Ovis aries: one gene and its partners. The protein of the gene in region 3 interacts with the protein of the main gene of each other region in a pairwise test. Links are inferred from orthologs where the notes say so. Each region holds a gene or a part of one and is shown on either strand. Other genes may lie near its edges.

What was found. The genes of interacting proteins can lie anywhere in the genome.
Region 1: the proteins of SDCBP (region 3) and C21H11orf68 interact in binary tests that used the Homo sapiens proteins (3 or more experiments, as listed by UniProt). The two-hybrid records come from large-scale screens. The link is inferred for Ovis aries from reciprocal best matches to the Homo sapiens genes SDCBP and C11orf68.
Region 2: the proteins of SDCBP (region 3) and KCTD6 interact in binary tests that used the Homo sapiens proteins (3 or more experiments, as listed by UniProt). The two-hybrid records come from large-scale screens. The link is inferred for Ovis aries from reciprocal best matches to the Homo sapiens genes SDCBP and KCTD6.
Region 4: the proteins of SDCBP (region 3) and NECAB2 interact in binary tests that used the Homo sapiens proteins (3 or more experiments, as listed by UniProt). The two-hybrid records come from large-scale screens. The link is inferred for Ovis aries from reciprocal best matches to the Homo sapiens genes SDCBP and NECAB2.

Annotation. Positions count from the first base shown.
Region 1 is NC_056074.1:40,461,937-40,466,210, reverse strand, and holds C21H11orf68 (UPF0696 protein C11orf68 homolog), read left to right. Parts: upstream 1-1,474; 5' UTR 1,475-1,496; coding exon 1,497-1,618; intron 1,619-2,101; exon of another isoform or gene 2,102-2,343; intron 2,344-2,590; coding exon 2,591-3,347; 3' UTR 3,348-3,982; downstream 3,983-4,274. Other genes in the region: DRAP1 (dr1-associated corepressor), read right to left, coding at 1-21, 142-261, 534-627, 736-808, 1,052-1,093.
Region 2 is NC_056072.1:42,983,686-42,987,974, forward strand, and holds the start of KCTD6 (BTB/POZ domain-containing protein KCTD6), read right to left. Parts: upstream 2,801-4,289; 5' UTR 2,616-2,800; exon of another isoform or gene 373-2,615; intron 1-372. UniProt on the Homo sapiens protein: Probable substrate-specific adapter of a BCR (BTB-CUL3-RBX1) E3 ubiquitin-protein ligase complex mediating the ubiquitination and subsequent proteasomal degradation of target proteins.
Region 3 is NC_056062.1:37,743,215-37,746,714, forward strand, and holds part of SDCBP (syntenin-1), read left to right. Parts: intron 1-2,333; coding exon 2,334-2,495; intron 2,496-3,500. UniProt on the Homo sapiens protein: Multifunctional adapter protein involved in diverse array of functions including trafficking of transmembrane proteins, neuro and immunomodulation, exosome biogenesis, and tumorigenesis.
Region 4 is NC_056067.1:9,830,324-9,834,597, forward strand, and holds the start of NECAB2 (N-terminal EF-hand calcium-binding protein 2), read left to right. Parts: upstream 1-1,474; 5' UTR 1,475-2,419; coding exon 2,420-2,712; intron 2,713-2,792; exon of another isoform or gene 2,793-2,798; coding exon 2,799-2,910; exon of another isoform or gene 2,911-3,695; coding exon of another isoform or gene 3,696-3,769; intron 3,770-4,078; coding exon 4,079-4,103; intron 4,104-4,274. UniProt on the Homo sapiens protein: May act as a signaling scaffold protein that senses intracellular calcium.

The sequences.
Region 1 (4,274 bases), on a different chromosome or scaffold from region 3:
CTGCTGCCTGGCTTCCGGCCCCTTCGGGAAGGTACAGTACATCTGCCCACAGGTCTCCCCACTCCTTCACCACTCCCCAGCCATCCCCAAGTCCAGGGGCCTTGGCCTTCCCCACCTGGACACTGGTCCCTGGCACCCTACCTGCGGGGACCCTTGTCCCCATCCATGTGGTTGTCTTCTCCATCCCCCTGCATGTCAGGCACAGATGCCACCAGGTCCTTCAAGAAGTCAAACTGCTGCTCCAGCTCAATGCACTGTTTCCTGGAAGAAGTGGGAAGGGGTTGGCACTCGGATGAGGCCCAGACATCTGGGCCCTCAACAAGGGACAGTACGGACTCTGTGGATGTCAGGGGAATGGAACCTGGAAAATTTCCACCCCAACCCTCCCCCTTGGCCAGAACATCCTAATCCTCCTCCTCAAATCCACAGATCTCACAGCAGCCTACCAATTCCTTATCAGGGCACAGCCTCCCCCAGGCGTGTGAACTGGAGGAAGACCCCCAACTGGGCCCTCTAGGATCGGAGCCACTCACAGGTGGGATGTAGTCATGGTCTTGGCGTTTCGGGACTGGGTAACTTGGCATGCTTTCTTCAACAGAGACTCCAAGAAAAGCTCGAGCGCCCGAGCTGAGGAGGGTCAAGGAGAACGCAGGGTGGTGGCCCAGTCCACAAAAAGCGACCCCGGGGCTGCCGGGCTCCCCCACTCCCCCATCCCGACAGCTCCCGACAGGATACAGATGATGACAGGCACGGCCGCCGCCACCTTCCCAATCTCTTCATCCGTCTGCATGATCTTCTTGATTCGTGCCTGGGGAGGGGGCAGACAGCTCGGACCCCGTAGCCTCCGTCCCAGAAAGGGTGCTTAAGCCGGGCAGAGAGAGGGAGCATCCCGGGAGAAAGGGGGCGGGGGGCACCCACGCTGGAAGGGCACGGAAGGGGGCGGGGCGTACGGGGCCCCGAACACGGCGATGCGCCCGCCTCCCTAGTCCGGCCTGGGCCGGAGCTTCCCGAGAGCCCGGCCCGTTCCTCTGGGGCCCGCTCACGTGCTCACCGGCGGGAACCGCGCGTTGTACTTCTTCTTCTTGCTCGGCATCTCGGGGCCTCTCCCGCCGCGCCGGACCCAGCGCCGCCGCCCGCAGCCTCCCGGCACCCGGGCCTGCTCTTAGCCCGTCCGCCGCGGTTCCCCCGGGTCCTGGTGCCGCCGGCTCCGCCCCCAACGCTTCCTACAGGGTCCTAGCGCCGCCGGTCAGGACGCCGCCGGCAGGGCCCGAGCGCCCTCCCCCTTAGAGCCTCCCGGGCTTTGCGCGTCCGTCCGGGGCGGAACCGCCACTCCCGCCCGCCCCCAAGACCTGAAGAGCGAACGTTAGCTCCGCCCCCCAAGGCCCGCCCCTCCTCGCCTTCCCTGATGGCCCCGCCCCCATGGCCCCGCCCCTTCCCGGCCCCGCCCTGTGCTGCGTTTGTCTATAAAGTTCTTGTTGAGGCGCCGGGGTACTAAGATGGCGGCGGCGGCGGCAGCCGTGGCGGGGGCGGGGCGCGGCGGTGGCAGCGGCGCAGATCCCCGGCAGGAACGGAGCCGGGCCCGGGGCTGGCCCGGCGCCGAGCGCAGCGAAGGCCGGAGGTGACGCTGGGGTTGGCGGGAGGGGGCAGGACGGGGGCGCAGCTCGGGCCGTGGGCACTAATGGCGGCGGGCGCGGCGGGGCGGGAGGCAGGCTCTCCTGCAGCCTCTATCCAGCCGGGGTTCGAGTCCAGGCACCGCCCCGTTGGTCTCGGATCGGACACTGCCCGTTTCTCGCCTCAGTGCCCTCGTCTTTAAGTAGGTTGGATAACGCTCGCCCGGAGGCCTGGCCCCATGGGCCCTGCCTCGGTGCGGCGAGGACGTGTGCTTTGCCTCCCTCCATTAAATCCCAGCGCCCGGGAGAGCGGCCAGGCTCTGGCAGGGCCAGGAGGCGTAGCTGGGCCGGCGGTTCCCGCATTTGAATTGCCGTTTCGGCCCTATCACTCACTGAAGGTGTGACCTGCAGTGAGCCCCTTCTCTCTGAGCTTCGGTTTCCTCGTTTGTAGGTCAAGGAGAGCAGTAATAACACTAACTACATTTATATAGCTTTTGTTCCACCTCAGGCGGTTAATTCTGCACAACTGCTTGAGGCAGTAACAAGTTGTTATCCATTGTGGAGACGCGGCAGCCGAGGCCCAGGCCCACACCGTTCAGTTCAGTGCCTGGCACCCCCTGCTGCTGCTGCTGCTGCTGCTGCTGCTGCTGCTAAGTCGCTCCAGTCGTGTCCGACTCTGTGCGACCCCATAGACGTCAGCCCAACAGGCTCCCCCGTCCCTGGGATTCTCCAGGCAAGAACACTGGAGTGGGTTGCCATTTCCTTCTCCAGTGCATGAAAGTGAAAAGTGAAAGTGAAGTCGCTCAGTCGTGTCCGACTCTTAGTGACCCGTGGACTGTAGCCTACCAGGCTCCTCCATCCATGGGATTCTCCAGGCAAGAGTACTGGAGTGGGGTGCCATCGCCTTCTCCCTGGCACCCCCTAGGACTCAGCAAGTTGAGTCTGTCCCGGCCCTGCCCTGATTCGGTTCCCTCCCGCAGGATGGAACCAGGTGAGGAGCTGGAGGAAGAGGACTCTCCAGGTGGTCGTGAAGATGGCTTCACTGCTGAGCACCTGGCTGCAGAGGCCATGGCAGCCGACATGGACCCCTGGCTGGTGTTTGATGCCCGCATGACACCTGCCACAGAGCTGGATGCCTGGTTGGCCAAGTACCCGCCGTCCCAAGTTACCCGCTATGGGGACCCTGGCTCGCCCAACTCTGAGCCCGTGGGCTGGATTGCAGTGTATGGGCAGGGCTACATCCCCAACTCGGGTGATGTGCAGGGCCTACAGGCCGCCTGGGAAGCTCTGCAGACCAGCGGGCGGCCCATAACGCCTGGTACCCTGCGCCAGCTGGCCATCACCCACCAAGTGCTCTCTGGCAAATGGCTGATACACCTGGCACCTGGCTTCAAGCTGGACCACGCCTGGGCTGGCATTGCTCGGGCTGTGGTTGAGGGCCGGCTGCAGGTGGCCAAGGTGAGCCCACGGGCCAAGGAGGGGGGGCGGCAGGTCATCTGCGTTTATACGGACGACTTCACGGACCGCTTGGGTGTTCTGGAGGCAGATGCAGCCATCCGTGCGGCAGGCGTGAAGTGTCTGCTTACCTACAAGCCTGACGTCTACACCTACCTGGGCATCTACCGGGCCAACCGCTGGCACCTCTGCCCCACTCTCTATGAGAGCCGTTTCCAGCTGGGGGGCAGTGCCCGTGGCTCCCGTGTGCTGGACCGTGCCAACAATGTGGAACTGACCTAATAGGGCCAAATGAGGGAGATGGCCATTGCCCCCACTACTGGGGCTGGAGCCTCCGCCTGTCTTCCCTCTCCTTGTCCCATGGAGGTCGAGCCCCTCCAGCTCTGAGGACTGGGTCACTCGGGAACTGCCTGCATCTTCGATCCCTTTGAACTTCTGTCCTGTGTTTGGGCTGACTCCAGTCCCTGCTGGCTGGAGGCAATGGCTCCGTGAGGGCTGGACCCTCAGCCTCTCTTCGCTGCTGCCTCCCCTCGGTCATCCAGAACCACAGGCGGGGTGCAGACGCCAGCAGGAGAACCTTCCTTGGCCACCCTCATCCCTGGCTGCACCTCCCCCTCCTCCTGCTTCCTCCTTTTCTCTTCCTCTTTCACAAGAGAGAAAACTAGTGCTTCCAATCCCTCTCCTCGGGGCCTTCACAGTGCAGGGGGCAGAGGTCCTGCGGGCCTGAGCATGCCATTTTGTTGGCGGAGAGTGGGTAATTGCTCCCACTCTGCCCCCAGCACAGAAGGGGGATGCCAGGGCCAAGGACACAGGGCCTGTCCCTGCCACCTCACAGCCGACACCACCTTCTTCCTTTCTTTGGCTCCCTTGTCACACGCGTACTTCTGGCATTTCAATAAACCCAGCCTGGGTCTGTGTCTTGAGTGTTTTTTACAATACTGTGTTGGTGGTTACCTGCATTGGTTGGCGGAGAGAGGCAGGGCCAGGAGAGACTGCCCCCTGTGTCCTGATTGCCTTCAACCGCCAAGCTGGGAATGTCTCTGAGAGCCTCTTCAAAGTCAGTCCTGTCTCACCTCCATCCCAGGAATCACAATCAGTTGTTCAGTGATTTCCCATAAATTCAAGGACTTGGCCCAGTAAAGTCTGAGGGACTGCTGCTAGCCCACAGGGTGTGTTCGTGCCCGTTAAGAGAAAGGTACCTCCTTGGTT
Region 2 (4,289 bases), on a different chromosome or scaffold from region 3:
GCAAATGTGAAAAACACACAATTCAATAAGTGAATGACTTAAAGAATAACGTAAGAACCCCTGAAACTCATTTTCCTCACCACAGCAGAACTCAATTACAGGCTTTGTGGTTATGATGAACTAATGAAACACACATATTCTGGGCTTATCATTTCTGCTACAGACTAAGAATTCTCTGGAATAAAACTCCTGCTCCTATCCTATATAATAACTTATACACTGCAATACACACCTCCAAACTTGAATAAATAATAAACACATAACTATTTCCTTCCCTAAGTTTCCAGGTAGCCCTTTTAAAACGCCTTTCTACTGAAATCTTTGTAGCTGGCATTCAGAAGAGACAACTCAACAAATTCCATCTATACATACCTTCAAAATCACCTTTGTGCTGAATTTCTCTGTTCTTGAAATGTGGGAGCTTTTCAAAGTGAAATACTTTTTATAGTAACTAGTTCATCAACTAAAGGAGTCTTTGGGGTTAACATTCACATACAGGCTGGTTTAAGTAGCCAGGCACAGAAGGAGAATGTGATTATGGTGTTAGGTTACGCTTGACCATAACCAATACACAAACAGACCGTTTCATCCAAAACCTAATCCTTTTTTCTCTCTGCCCTCTCCATGTGGTCTACAAAAAAGGCGCTCTAGGTTGAAAAGTGACTTTTCCTACTGAAGAGCTACCACAAATAGTCACAAAACCATACCATCCCTCTTACCTTAATTTCTGTAAGATAAAACAGAATAATACCACATTCCCAAAAGGAACAGTACCACTTAAGCACAACACAGAGGCAACACCTGGCCTACAGGGTGACAGATGGGGGCCTGGGGTTTGAGGTCATAGACAGGTCAGAGCAGGAGAGAGAAAAGGCCACAGGTGAGGATCCTTAAGCCAGCTTGGCTTCATGACTAATTATAAGACCCAGAGTAAATCACTCTGTATTGCCCACCTGCTTCTTGGAGAAAAAATAAGTGAGATCATGAATCGAAAATTTATGGGTAAACTGGCAAATGTGAAACACTACTGGCAGTAGCATCCTTACAATTTCTGTGGCGAACTGAGAAACCGGAGTGTGGACACAAGTAATTCAGAGCGTGGGCATGGAGACCGGGCAAGTATGGAAGAGGAGGGCACTTAATGTGCTTCCAGTCTCCCTCATCCCGTCCTCCTTTTCCTGGAGCCCCACAAGGGAGAACCACAGGTAAGGTGGAGCATCTGGCTTTCACAGAGACCACCAGACGTCTGACCTCTTCATCACAGAAGGAAGGAACTCTAAAGCATGACTCGGGATTATGTCCAAGGTAAAGCCAAATCCAAATGAGTATTTGGATTCCATTTTCAATAGACTCCAAATATCACAATCCAAGACACGTTCAGTGATTCACAGATTCACTCTAAAATTTCTTCATGTAGTAATGCTTTAAACTGTGACAAATTAAAATTTAAATGACATGAACCTTAGAAACAGCATCTATGGTGGTCCTCACCACTCAATTCTTAATATTTATGATGTTATGCAAAATGAAGTACTAGTATGGTCTGATCAAAGAGCAAGTTGTCTCAACCTACCAACCATGCAGGTTAAAAAAGAGATTTTCCTTTTCCTAGCTACACATCTGTTTGTTCGAAAACATCTCAGTCCTGGGCTCAGTCCTGTGCTAAACGCTGTCCCCTCGCTTCTTTCCTCTCTTGGAATCGTTCATATACTCAGGCGTTTGTGAGAGCAAAGAAAATGCACATACCAAGGGGAAACGGTAAGACACGCTTAGGCTACCCCAAACGCTCTTGGCCAAACCAAGTTACCTCAGGTCTCGGGGCACTCAAACCTCTTCTATCACAAAGCCCTAAAATTGGAAGTAGCCAACTTGTTCCAGAACTGGTATAGTTGCAGAAACATGATAACTTCAGCACAATATCCAAAAAGGATCTCTGCTTCGTTTCTGGAGTCCCACCCCTCAGACAGCCTCCACCACTGACAGCCCAGCCCGGCAGGTGCTTCAGGGGCTCCTCACCACCACGGCCATTTATCACCTCTGACGTCCAGCATTAAGAATGCCCTGGGCACACACAAATCTGGGCATTAAGAACTCAGCTGCGGTCAATCCCTCTTTGGGGCAGAAAAATCCCCTAAGGCAGGGTTCAGAAGTCCTGCCGGGGGCTTTAAAATAAGGAAAACTGTAGCCAATAAGCACCACCCACAATCAATCATCTTCCAGCAAACCTTGAGGTGCTCCCGTCCCGGCTTCACTGCTGCCCACGGGCAGAGTCCCCCACCCCGACCCGGGCCCCGGGCGTGGGACGGGAGACACTTGGGGCCCGGGCATGGGGCGCGCACCCGAGCCCTAAACCCGGGTCCGCCGAACCCGCAAGTCCCAGCGGGGCAGGCCCCGGATCCTCCGCCCAAGGCCGGCCTCTGGTCGCGGGCAGCCCGCGGCGGGTTCGTGCCAGCCCCGGAGCGCGCCGCCTGGACTCCCCGAGGTCCCCTGAGCGCGGCCCCGCCACCGCCCGGGTTCCCCTCAACCCCGCTGCCGGGCCGCTCCGCGCGGTCTTCTGCTAGAGCCCAGCCCTCCCGAGCCCCGGGCCTCCGCGTCGTGGGCCCGCCCCTACTCACTGCGCTGCGGCGGCGGTGGCTGCCGGGCCGGGAGACGCCGGCGGCCGGAGAGCGCGAGCGCGAGGACGAGCGAGCCCGCGCCCGGTGGCGGCGGCGGCGGCGGCGGCAGAAGGGACGACTGAGCCCGCGCCCGGAGTTGCGGCTCCTGCCGCCCGGAGCGGGCGGCGCCTTTCCAGCGGAGACACGGCGCCACAGGCGCGGGCGCCCCCTAACGGCGTCGCGGGCTAGTGACCGAAGGGCCGAGCGGCCGGAGAAACTCAAACCAGGCGTAGCCTGGGCGGCTCCTTCAGGCTGGCTCCGCGGCAGCCCTGAAGCCCCGCCCCGACGCCCGATCCCGCCCCCGAGGCTCGGGCCCCAGACCCACGCGCTCCGCCCAGAATTCGCCCGACATCCCGCCTCCGCCCGCACTGGGGGATCTGCCCAGCCCCCGGCACTTTTCGCTAGGGCTCAAACCTAGTTTCTCCGGTCATTTTACGAATACTTAAGGGATCCCAACCAAGTGCCAGGCCTGACGAGTAAAGCGGTCACCAAGAAGGAGGGGCTTCCTAATGAAAGGAGAAACATTAAAGACCCAAGTAAACAGCCGACAAAAAAATGACTACAAAAAAAAGTTATGATTATAAAATGTTGGGAGGTACATGAATTCGATGGAGAATAAGCGGAGGGGGCCTCTGCTGCAGATACGGTGACTATACAAGATCTGGACTCTGGAACTGTGGTCCCAGGACTCCTGGCCTTACCCTCTGTGGGATTGATACGGTCACCTCTCCAGTCTGTGGGCGGAGTAGGGAAAGACAGCCAGATGGAGAGAAGGGCAGCAGAGAAAACGACCAGTGCAAAGGCTCTGAGGACTGAAGGAGCCAGCCCTAGAGGAAGCTGGCACCAATACTGTCCTCATTTCACCACGAAGGAAGCCAAGGCTGCAAGAGTGGGAATTACCTAAAGTCTGAGCTAATTGGTTTCCAAACATAGATTCCTTCCAAACAGAACTCACTTCTGGCTAACCAAATCCCCATCCCTTTCCAGGTGGGATCAGGTACAGGGATTTTGCCATTTCTCCTTCACAATAAGCAAAAGAGTTCAGAGAAACGTCTATTTCTGCTTTATTGACTATGCCAAAGTCTTTGTTTGACTGTGTGGATCACAATAAACTGTGGAACATTCTGAAAGAGATGGGAATACCAGACCACCTGACCTGCCTCTTGAGAAATCTGTATGCAGGTCAGGAAGCAACAGTTAGAACTGGACATGGAACAAACTGGTTCCAAATAGGAAAAGGAGTACAGCAAGGCTGTATATTGTCAACCCTGCTTATTTAACTTATATGCAGAGTACATCATCCCAGAGAAGGAAATGACAACCCACTCCAGTATTCTTGCCTGGAGAATCCCAGGGACAGAAGAGCCTGGTGGGCTGCCATCTGTGGGGTCGCACAGAGTCGGACACAACTGGAGCGACCTAGCAGCAGCTCCAGAGTACATGAGAAATGCTGGGCTGGATGAAGCACAAGCTGGACTCAAGATTGCTGGGAGAAATATCAATAACCTCATATATGCAGATGACACCACCCTTTGGCAGAAAGTGAGGAACTAAAGAGCCTCTTGATGAAAGTGAAAGAGGGGAGTGAAAAAGTTGGCTTAAAGCTCAACATTCAGAAAACTAAGATCCTGGCAT
Region 3 (3,500 bases):
CACCTAGATGTTACACTTGGCTCTTCTTCCAGTAACTCCTCTAGTAACTTGTTATATCAATGAATGCTGAGCTACTGCTAACTTTATCATTCTGAAATTCAGGTCTGTTACCTTTTTTTTGCTCATAATCTTTTTAAGTTTAAAGCTTCTTACAGTTTGACCCCAAATTCTTGGCTTAAATATAGTGTGTCTCAGTCTTTTGTTAAGATTGTTGCTATAAGACTGTAATACCTTACAGTACTTGTCATAGGTAAATGCATAACTTCATGAAGACAGCCTTTATGTCTCTGTTGCTGCCATAACTCCCATGCTTAGTACAGTACCTGGCTTTCAATTTATTCACCAAATATTTATTGAAAACTTGCTTACATCAGTCAGGGTCCAGGTGGAACAACAGAAATCACACAAGAATTTTAACAGAGATAACAAGAAATCAGAGAGGTTGAAGAATTGAAAAAAGCAAAAGCGGAACCCAGAAAGCTGCTTCTCCTAGAACTGGGGCATACGGGATGGGGGTTACAGTTCGCAGAGCCAACAGTGTTGGTGGAGGAGCCCCGTGAGCTGGGCCTCAGGGGAGGGCCCCCTGTGATGGATGCTGGTACCTCTGGGGGCTGCAGGGAGGCTGTGCTGCCAGTGTCTGGAATCTGGAGACTGGAGTCACCTGCTGCCAGCAGCATGAAGGGCTGGCCCCAGGCAGTACTGGCAGGAGCAGGAAGCAGACAGGAAGGGGCAGGCCCTGGCACGTCCTCCTCGCGAGGGGTCCTGACCAGAAAGCCATGGCAGAAGAGGGCTCACCACAGAGGGTGGGCTTGGAAGGCACGGACAGTCTGTGACGCTTGCTGGCCTCTCTTCTCTTCAGTGTGCCCACAGGCTTCTTTCTTCATATTTCTTCACATTTGTTGACGCGCAACAAATATTTTCTGGTAAGGGAACCATAGTAAGTACGTTCAGCTTTACTAGCCAGTATATACAGAGACCTTGAGAGGCTTCCGGGCAGAAATGAGCTTGAGAGGCCTGAGAGACAGGACCTCGGTGAGGGCAGATGAGACAGAATGTGGCTGCAGATGCACTGGGGGGTGACATTGGAAGGGCTGTCAGGCCAGGTAGTCTGTGGCCTTGTGGACAGGGTAAGGGGTTGGGGGTCTGAGTTGTGGGATTAACAAAAGGGTTTCAGTGCTTGCTGTGTGGAGGGCAAATAGAAGGGCAAGAGTAGATGGTGGTCATAGTAGCCTTAGCAGGAGGGAGCAGTGGTCATGTGTTGGTCATATGGATCATGGTAAGAACACCGAGTAAGCACTTAACTGTACTTGCTGGAAAGAAATTCTTTTCCAAAAGTTATACTCCAAAGCTCCTCCCTTTTGTCCTATGTTTCAGCTAAACTAAATTCATTTGCTTAATTTTTTCTATCCCATTGCCTGATTTTTATGCTTTTATAGCTGTAATCATTGAATTTTTGTAATTCTTCAAAAGTTGTATTTTCTGGTATTGTGCTTGATTAGTGGTATGGCTCTTTGTGTGTGTGTGATGTCCTGGTGACTGTGATTCTGAACGGAGACATTGGCAGCCTGTGTGTGTGCGGCTGAGGTTTCTCTCCCCCATCATGGCTGTTCTGAGCATCACGGTGTCAGACCAGAGCTTTTCATGACAGGTTCCGGTTAAGACGCTTTGGTAACAAATATGCTCTTCCCTCATTTTCTTTGGTAGAGGAAAGGGTCCACTTAAAACACTAAACTCATTTTGGTCAAGAAAAAAAAATTAGGAATGTGAGGCCTGGTACCTAACGGAGTCCCTAGTACAGCTATTCTCCATACAGTTGGTTAATCCACAGATGTTTACCAAAGGGATGAAAAATAACATTTGTCTTGTGTGTGTCAGCACTTGACTAGTAGGTGCTTTTAGTCCTTGTAGTGGAGCTGTGAGGTAAGAAGTTTGCCTCTGTAATAAAAACTCTGAAAGGGTAAGTACATTGTTGAAGGCCATATAAAAGAACCCTCAGGAAGATGCTGTGTGAGTTTAAAAGTAAAGTACAGCCTTTATAAAGTTCAAGGATAATATATTTGAGTTGAAAACAAGCCAGGGTACACATAAAACAAATGCCAGTGAATTCATCGGGCAACAGAGTCATTGAGTCTGCTGGAGATGGTGTCTGGGGGGGTAAATTACCTGCAGAATTAGTTTTAAAAAACAAAATAGGGTCATTTTTGCAAAACTCATATCTGAAGGAAATAATCGGCAGATTACATTTTAGGAAACCACAACAGAATATGTTCAATTTTGGATTTTCTCAGGGCGCGTGTTTGCGAATACTGACGTGTTGCATGTGTCTTTGGCAGCAGTTGGTGGCACGGCCTTCCAGCATGGACCACATGGTGGCCCCTGTCACTGGTGGCGACACTGGGATCCGCAGAGCAGAGATCAAGCAAGGGATCCGAGAAGTCATCTTGTGTAAGGATCAAGACGGGAAGATTGGGCTCCGGCTGAAATCCATAGACAATGTAAGTGCTTTCAGTACACTTGTCTGATTAGCTGTTATGTGACCCAGTTACAATTTAAAATGTAAATGCTTTAATGAAGTGTAATGGTGCTCTCTGATCAAGACTACTTTTAATCTGCTTTTCCACGTGAGATGCTACCCTGTTCTGAAGAGGCAGAGCTGGGACTTGAGCATTACCATGGATGAATTTTTTCTGAGTCCTTTTTCTGGAATAAAGTTCACTAGTCTGCGTGTATTATAACATAGTTCATACAAGGAGAATGCTGGCATTGAAATAGGGTAACGTGTGGAAGTTAAGACTGATAGGTGAGGGTCAGTGGTCTTGTGTATTTTTAAACTTAAAGACGATCATGTGACTTGTAATGTGGTTTGGGGTTTGTTATTTCCATCCTTGAATTTGACTTTCATGGGGCATTTTCCAGGCAACAGTGACTTTCTAAAGTACATTACTTCACCTCTCACCTTACCAGATGGAAGAAATGAAACCTGGTTACTCTGTGGGGAAGCACTTAGGATCACTAAGGAGGTGCTGAGTCTTTACCCTGATTTGTGGGTTTCCAGGTTATTTATTGGGCTTCTTTTCAGTCTTCGGTCTCATAGCTCAGCGCATCCAGCCTTTGCATGTAGAAGATGTGGCGCCTGGCGGAAGATGTTTGAGGCCAGTCCGGGCCCTACCTGCCTCCCCAGAGGCTGAGGGCATTGTGTCTTTGCACACTTGTGGCTTGTGTGAGACCCTCATTGAGTGTGCTGCTCTGGGAAGCTCGCACTTCCCTGCCCTCTCTACATCCTAGAGAGAGACCACACTCTCCGCAGCTCCACCCCTGCAGCAGTTATCCTTGCAGTGGTTTGTCCAGTGGCCGAAGCTTGTAGGTGTAGCCACTCTGCTGGGTGCCGTCCTCAAGTACAGGATACGCAGCACCAAATCTGAGTACAGGCTACGCAGCACCAAATCTGGGGCAGCTCAGGACGGAGAAGGGGTGCGACCTGTGGTTGCTTTCATCTCTTA
Region 4 (4,274 bases), on a different chromosome or scaffold from region 3:
GATCCCCACACTTGCACCTGCCACAGGGCCTTTGCACAGGCTAAGCTCTAGCCCAGGGAACTTCCCCATCCTCTCTGTAACTCCTCCTCCTCCTTACACTCTTGGAGCATAAGGACCATTTCCTCTAGGAAGCCTCTTCTGACATATGCCCCTCCGTGGCCCTCAGGTAGAACCCACTCTGGTGGGTCAGGGTGCCACCCTTCATTGCAGTTCAGTTCTCACTCTTCCTTACTTGTGGGATCATTCCAGTGTTTGGAGAAGGAAATGGCAACCCACTCCAGTATTCTTGCCTGGAGAATCCCATGAACGGAGGAGCTTGGTGGGCTACAGTCCACGGGTCGCAAAGAGTCGGACACGACTGAGAGACTTCACTTTCACTTTCACTTCCAGTATCTGGCTCCACCCACTTGGCTGTAAGCTCCAGGAGGCCAAGGCAAGCCCTCCTGTTTTCCCGATGTTCTTGGAACCCAGTGCGGCCACCAGGCCTAGCACCCAGCAGGGGCTCCTTTAATTCTCTGGTTCGGTGGGTGGGAGTCTGGAAGGATGGACGCAGGGAGTATAAGGGGAAGAGGGTGTTCCAGGGGTGGGGAACACTAGTTCTGGGCGTTGTTTAACTCGCGGGGGAGGTCTGAGGGGCGTGCACCCGGTGGAAGGGACGAGTGGGTACTTGCGGAGTGGAGAAGGCCCCAGTGCGTGGGCGCGCGTTCCTTGGGCTGCAGCCGGCAGAGGGCGCTACCGGCTCGCCGGACACAGCGCTCCGGCCCCGGCGGCGGCGCCACGGAGTGGAGGAGGGGGGATTCTTCTGGAGGGCGGGCAGGGGGAGACTTTCGGAATGGGGGCAGCCCCCAGGGATGCACCCCCGAAGCCAGACCCCCAAAACCCCGCGCCTGCCAGGCAGCCCCCTCCGTGGCCGGGCCGGGGTCTAGCTCCCCAGCCCCGCGGCCCACTGCCGGCAGCCCCCTGCCGCCGCGCCCGGCCGCCGGGGGCGGGGGCGGTGGCCCACGGGGCACGTGGCTCCGGGTCCGGGCGGGGCGGCGCCCACCCCCTCCCGTCCCCCAGCGCCGGCCCGTCCCCGCGTGGCCGCGGCCGCGGGGGCAGAGGGAGGGAGGGCGGGGCGCGGGCGGCGGCGGCGGGCGGCGCCGGGGAGGGGGTCGCGCGGGGGCGGGCCGCGGGCCGGGCGGGGGTCGGCGGGCTTCCGGGCGGCGGCGGCGGCGGGCGCGGCGCGATGTGCGAGCGGGCGGCGCGCCTGTGCAGGGCCGGCGCGCACAGGCTGCTCCGGGAGCCGCCGCCGCAGGGCCGGGCGCTGGGCGGGCTGCTGCGCTGGGTGGGCGCCAGGATGGGCGAGCCCCGGGCGCCGCTGGCCCCCGACGCCCCCAACACCCCCGTCGCGGACCCCGGCCCCTACCCGGGCCCCGCCTCGCCGCGCGGGGGCACCGCCGTCATCCTGGACGTGAGTACGCGCGGGCCGGGACCCGTTCTCCCCACCGGGCGACGCGGACGCCACGCTCCCGGGACCCCGCTGGGACCTGCAAGACCCCCTTCTGCTTGAGGGGCAGGGGTCCCCGGGCAGGGACGCTGGCCCGCACCCCGGGGGTCCAGAGCGGGATCCACCGGCTCCTCCTTGTGCAGAGCGCGGCCCCCAGCTCTTCGGCCCCCGGGCCGGTCTCCGTGCGGGTCCCGTCTCGTCCCCGGACCGGGACGACCCCTTTACCTCCCTCCCCTTCTCGGGATCTCCACATTCTCGGAGCCGGGACCCTGGAGCCCCTCGACCCGGCCACCGCCCCCTACTTCTGTCCTGGCCAAACCCTCATCTTTCTCCAGCCCGCGCTTCATCCTTCACCCAGCTCCTTCCCGGGACGCGAGTCCCAGACCGCCGTCGGCCCCTGCTCCTGCCCGCCCCACCGACCCCTGCCCCCCGTCCTTACTTTTCTAAGACTCTCCCCCCAACCCACCCCATCACACACACAATCCCTGGGTCCAGGGCCATTTTTCTTGTCCGAGCTTTGGACCTTAAGCCCTTGTATCCTCAACCCTTTTGCCTCAGGCACCACCTTTTTAAAAGCAAAGCCCCCTCCCCACCTGCCTTCCTCTCTCCTTTCAGTAGGACTGGAGCCATCCCCCATCCTCTCTGAGGACCACCACTCCATTCTGAGCCAGTCCTTGATCCCCTTCCCCCGCTCCCCCCTCCCTCTCCCTCTCCTCACCCCTCCCTCTCCCTTTCCTCACCCCTCCCCCTGCTCACCCCCTCCCCTTTTCACCCTCTCTCCTCCTCACCCCCACTCCGCACCCCTCCCCCACGTCCTCTGGAGCCCAAACCGCCCCACCTCACCCTCCCACCCACTCTCCTCTGTAGGAGGGAGCCTTCTGCAGGGTGGGGGGGCGTCCCCCGTGGGGTGCTCTGCCCACCCCAAGGGGCAGCATGGCAGTGGGGTGTGCCTGTCCTAGGGAGGGTCCTCCGAGGTGGGTGACACGGGGCTGGGGGTGCCATGTTTATGTATGGTGGGTGGGTTTCAGGGAGAGGTGTGTGTATCACATCCTGGTGAGAGGGGGACAGTGTGGGTTTCCTCTCGCCCCTCCACCCCCACCACGTTCCTGTTGGAGCCTCCATCGCTGGCTCTCAGCCGACAGGGCAGGGGGTGATCTGCCGCACGTGGCCATGGCTCCCAGGCTTCCCAGAACGTGCTCACACACAGCCCACTCGCACCTGCACAGGTGAGCCCTCTCAAAGCCCCAGTGAGTTCGCAGCTGAAAGCCCTTGCAGCGGACAGCTCTGTCCAGGCCCCCCCCCTTTTGCACAGGACAGGACGTGGACTCTGGAGTCCTCACGCCACGCTGCTGGCTCTGAGCCCCAGTCTCCTCATCTGTGAAATGGGGGTGATGAGCGAGTGCCAGGGCCACATCTCCTGTCAGGTCAGTCACTTTAACGCTCACCCCCGGCCCCGGCACCTGAAGGTGGGACTCCAGCCTCCTCGGGAACCTTGCAGTCAGGAGCAGGCAGTGTGCGGTGCACAAGCTGGGGTGCTGGCAGCTGCCCCCTTTTCTGCCCCAGCTGCTCCAGACCTGTGTCCCCTGCCCCAACTTGGGGTTCAGCTCAAGAAAGGGGGAATGTTTGAGAATATCTTTCCTGAGCTGCTGCTTCAGTTTGTCACAGCCCGGGTGCCTGACAATGGATGCCTGCCCTACTGCTTGGAGGGAGGGGCCCAGCTCCCGCTCTCCAAGGTGTGAGGGTCACACGCTGGGGGCGGCGTCTCCCCCTCTTCCTACCTTCAGCAAGGCTTGCGTGCACGCGTGCTAAGTCACTCAGAAGGGTCCGACTCTGCGACCCCATGGACTGTAGCCTGCCAGACTCCTTTGTCCATGGAATTCTCCAGGCCAGATACTGGAGTGGGTAGCCTTTCCCTTCTCCAGGGGATCTTCCTGACCCAAGGATCGAACCCAGGTCTCGCACATTGCAGGTGGATTCTTTACCATCTGAGCCACCAGGGCAGCCCCCAGCAAGGCTTACTAGGACTAAAAACACCAGGAGGAGCTATCTGGTTTCAGCTGCAGCTGGAGGGGACCAGGCTGCCCCTTCCCTCCCCGCCTCTCTTTCTGAGCTGCTTGCGGGCTGCTCCTACCCACTGACCACCCCCAAAAAACTAATCCCGCCGTGCACTGGCTGATCCTGTCGTCAGGCCTCGAGGTTTGCTTGGCAGATGCCTCTGTTCAGATTTAACCCACCCTCCCTGGAGAACACCAGGCCCTCGAGAGGTCCTAGTGGGGGTGTAAGGTGAGTGGCTGCCTCCCACGGACGGGAGTGGGGAGCACGCAGCCGCCTGTGGGTGCTGCACGTGGGCCAAAGGTTCTGGACACACACCCGTGCGGCGTGCTCTCGACCGCATGGCCAGCAGCGCCTGAGGAAGAGGGGAGGCTGTCTCCTCGAGGGGAGCTGGAGGGCCACTGCCTGAAACACCCTTCCACCCCCGGGTCTCCTCCCTCAGGAGGGAAAAGGGGCCCGGCTTCCGCAGGTCCACTGGGCTGGGGGTGTTGGAAGCCTGCCCCTCCCAGCCGACACTGACTCGACCTCTCTTCTCTGCAGATTTTCCGCCGTGCGGACAAAAACGGTGAGTCTTCCCACACCCCGCGAGGCTGTCCCCGTGTGAGGACCTGGCTCTTTCTGGTTGGGGGTGCAGGACGCTGCCCTGCGCCTGTTTCTCCATCCTACGAGGGACCCCTGTGGTTCCTACTGAGCAGGGGAGCCATGCGGCTTCAGCGGGCAGGTGTGGGCAGTGCGG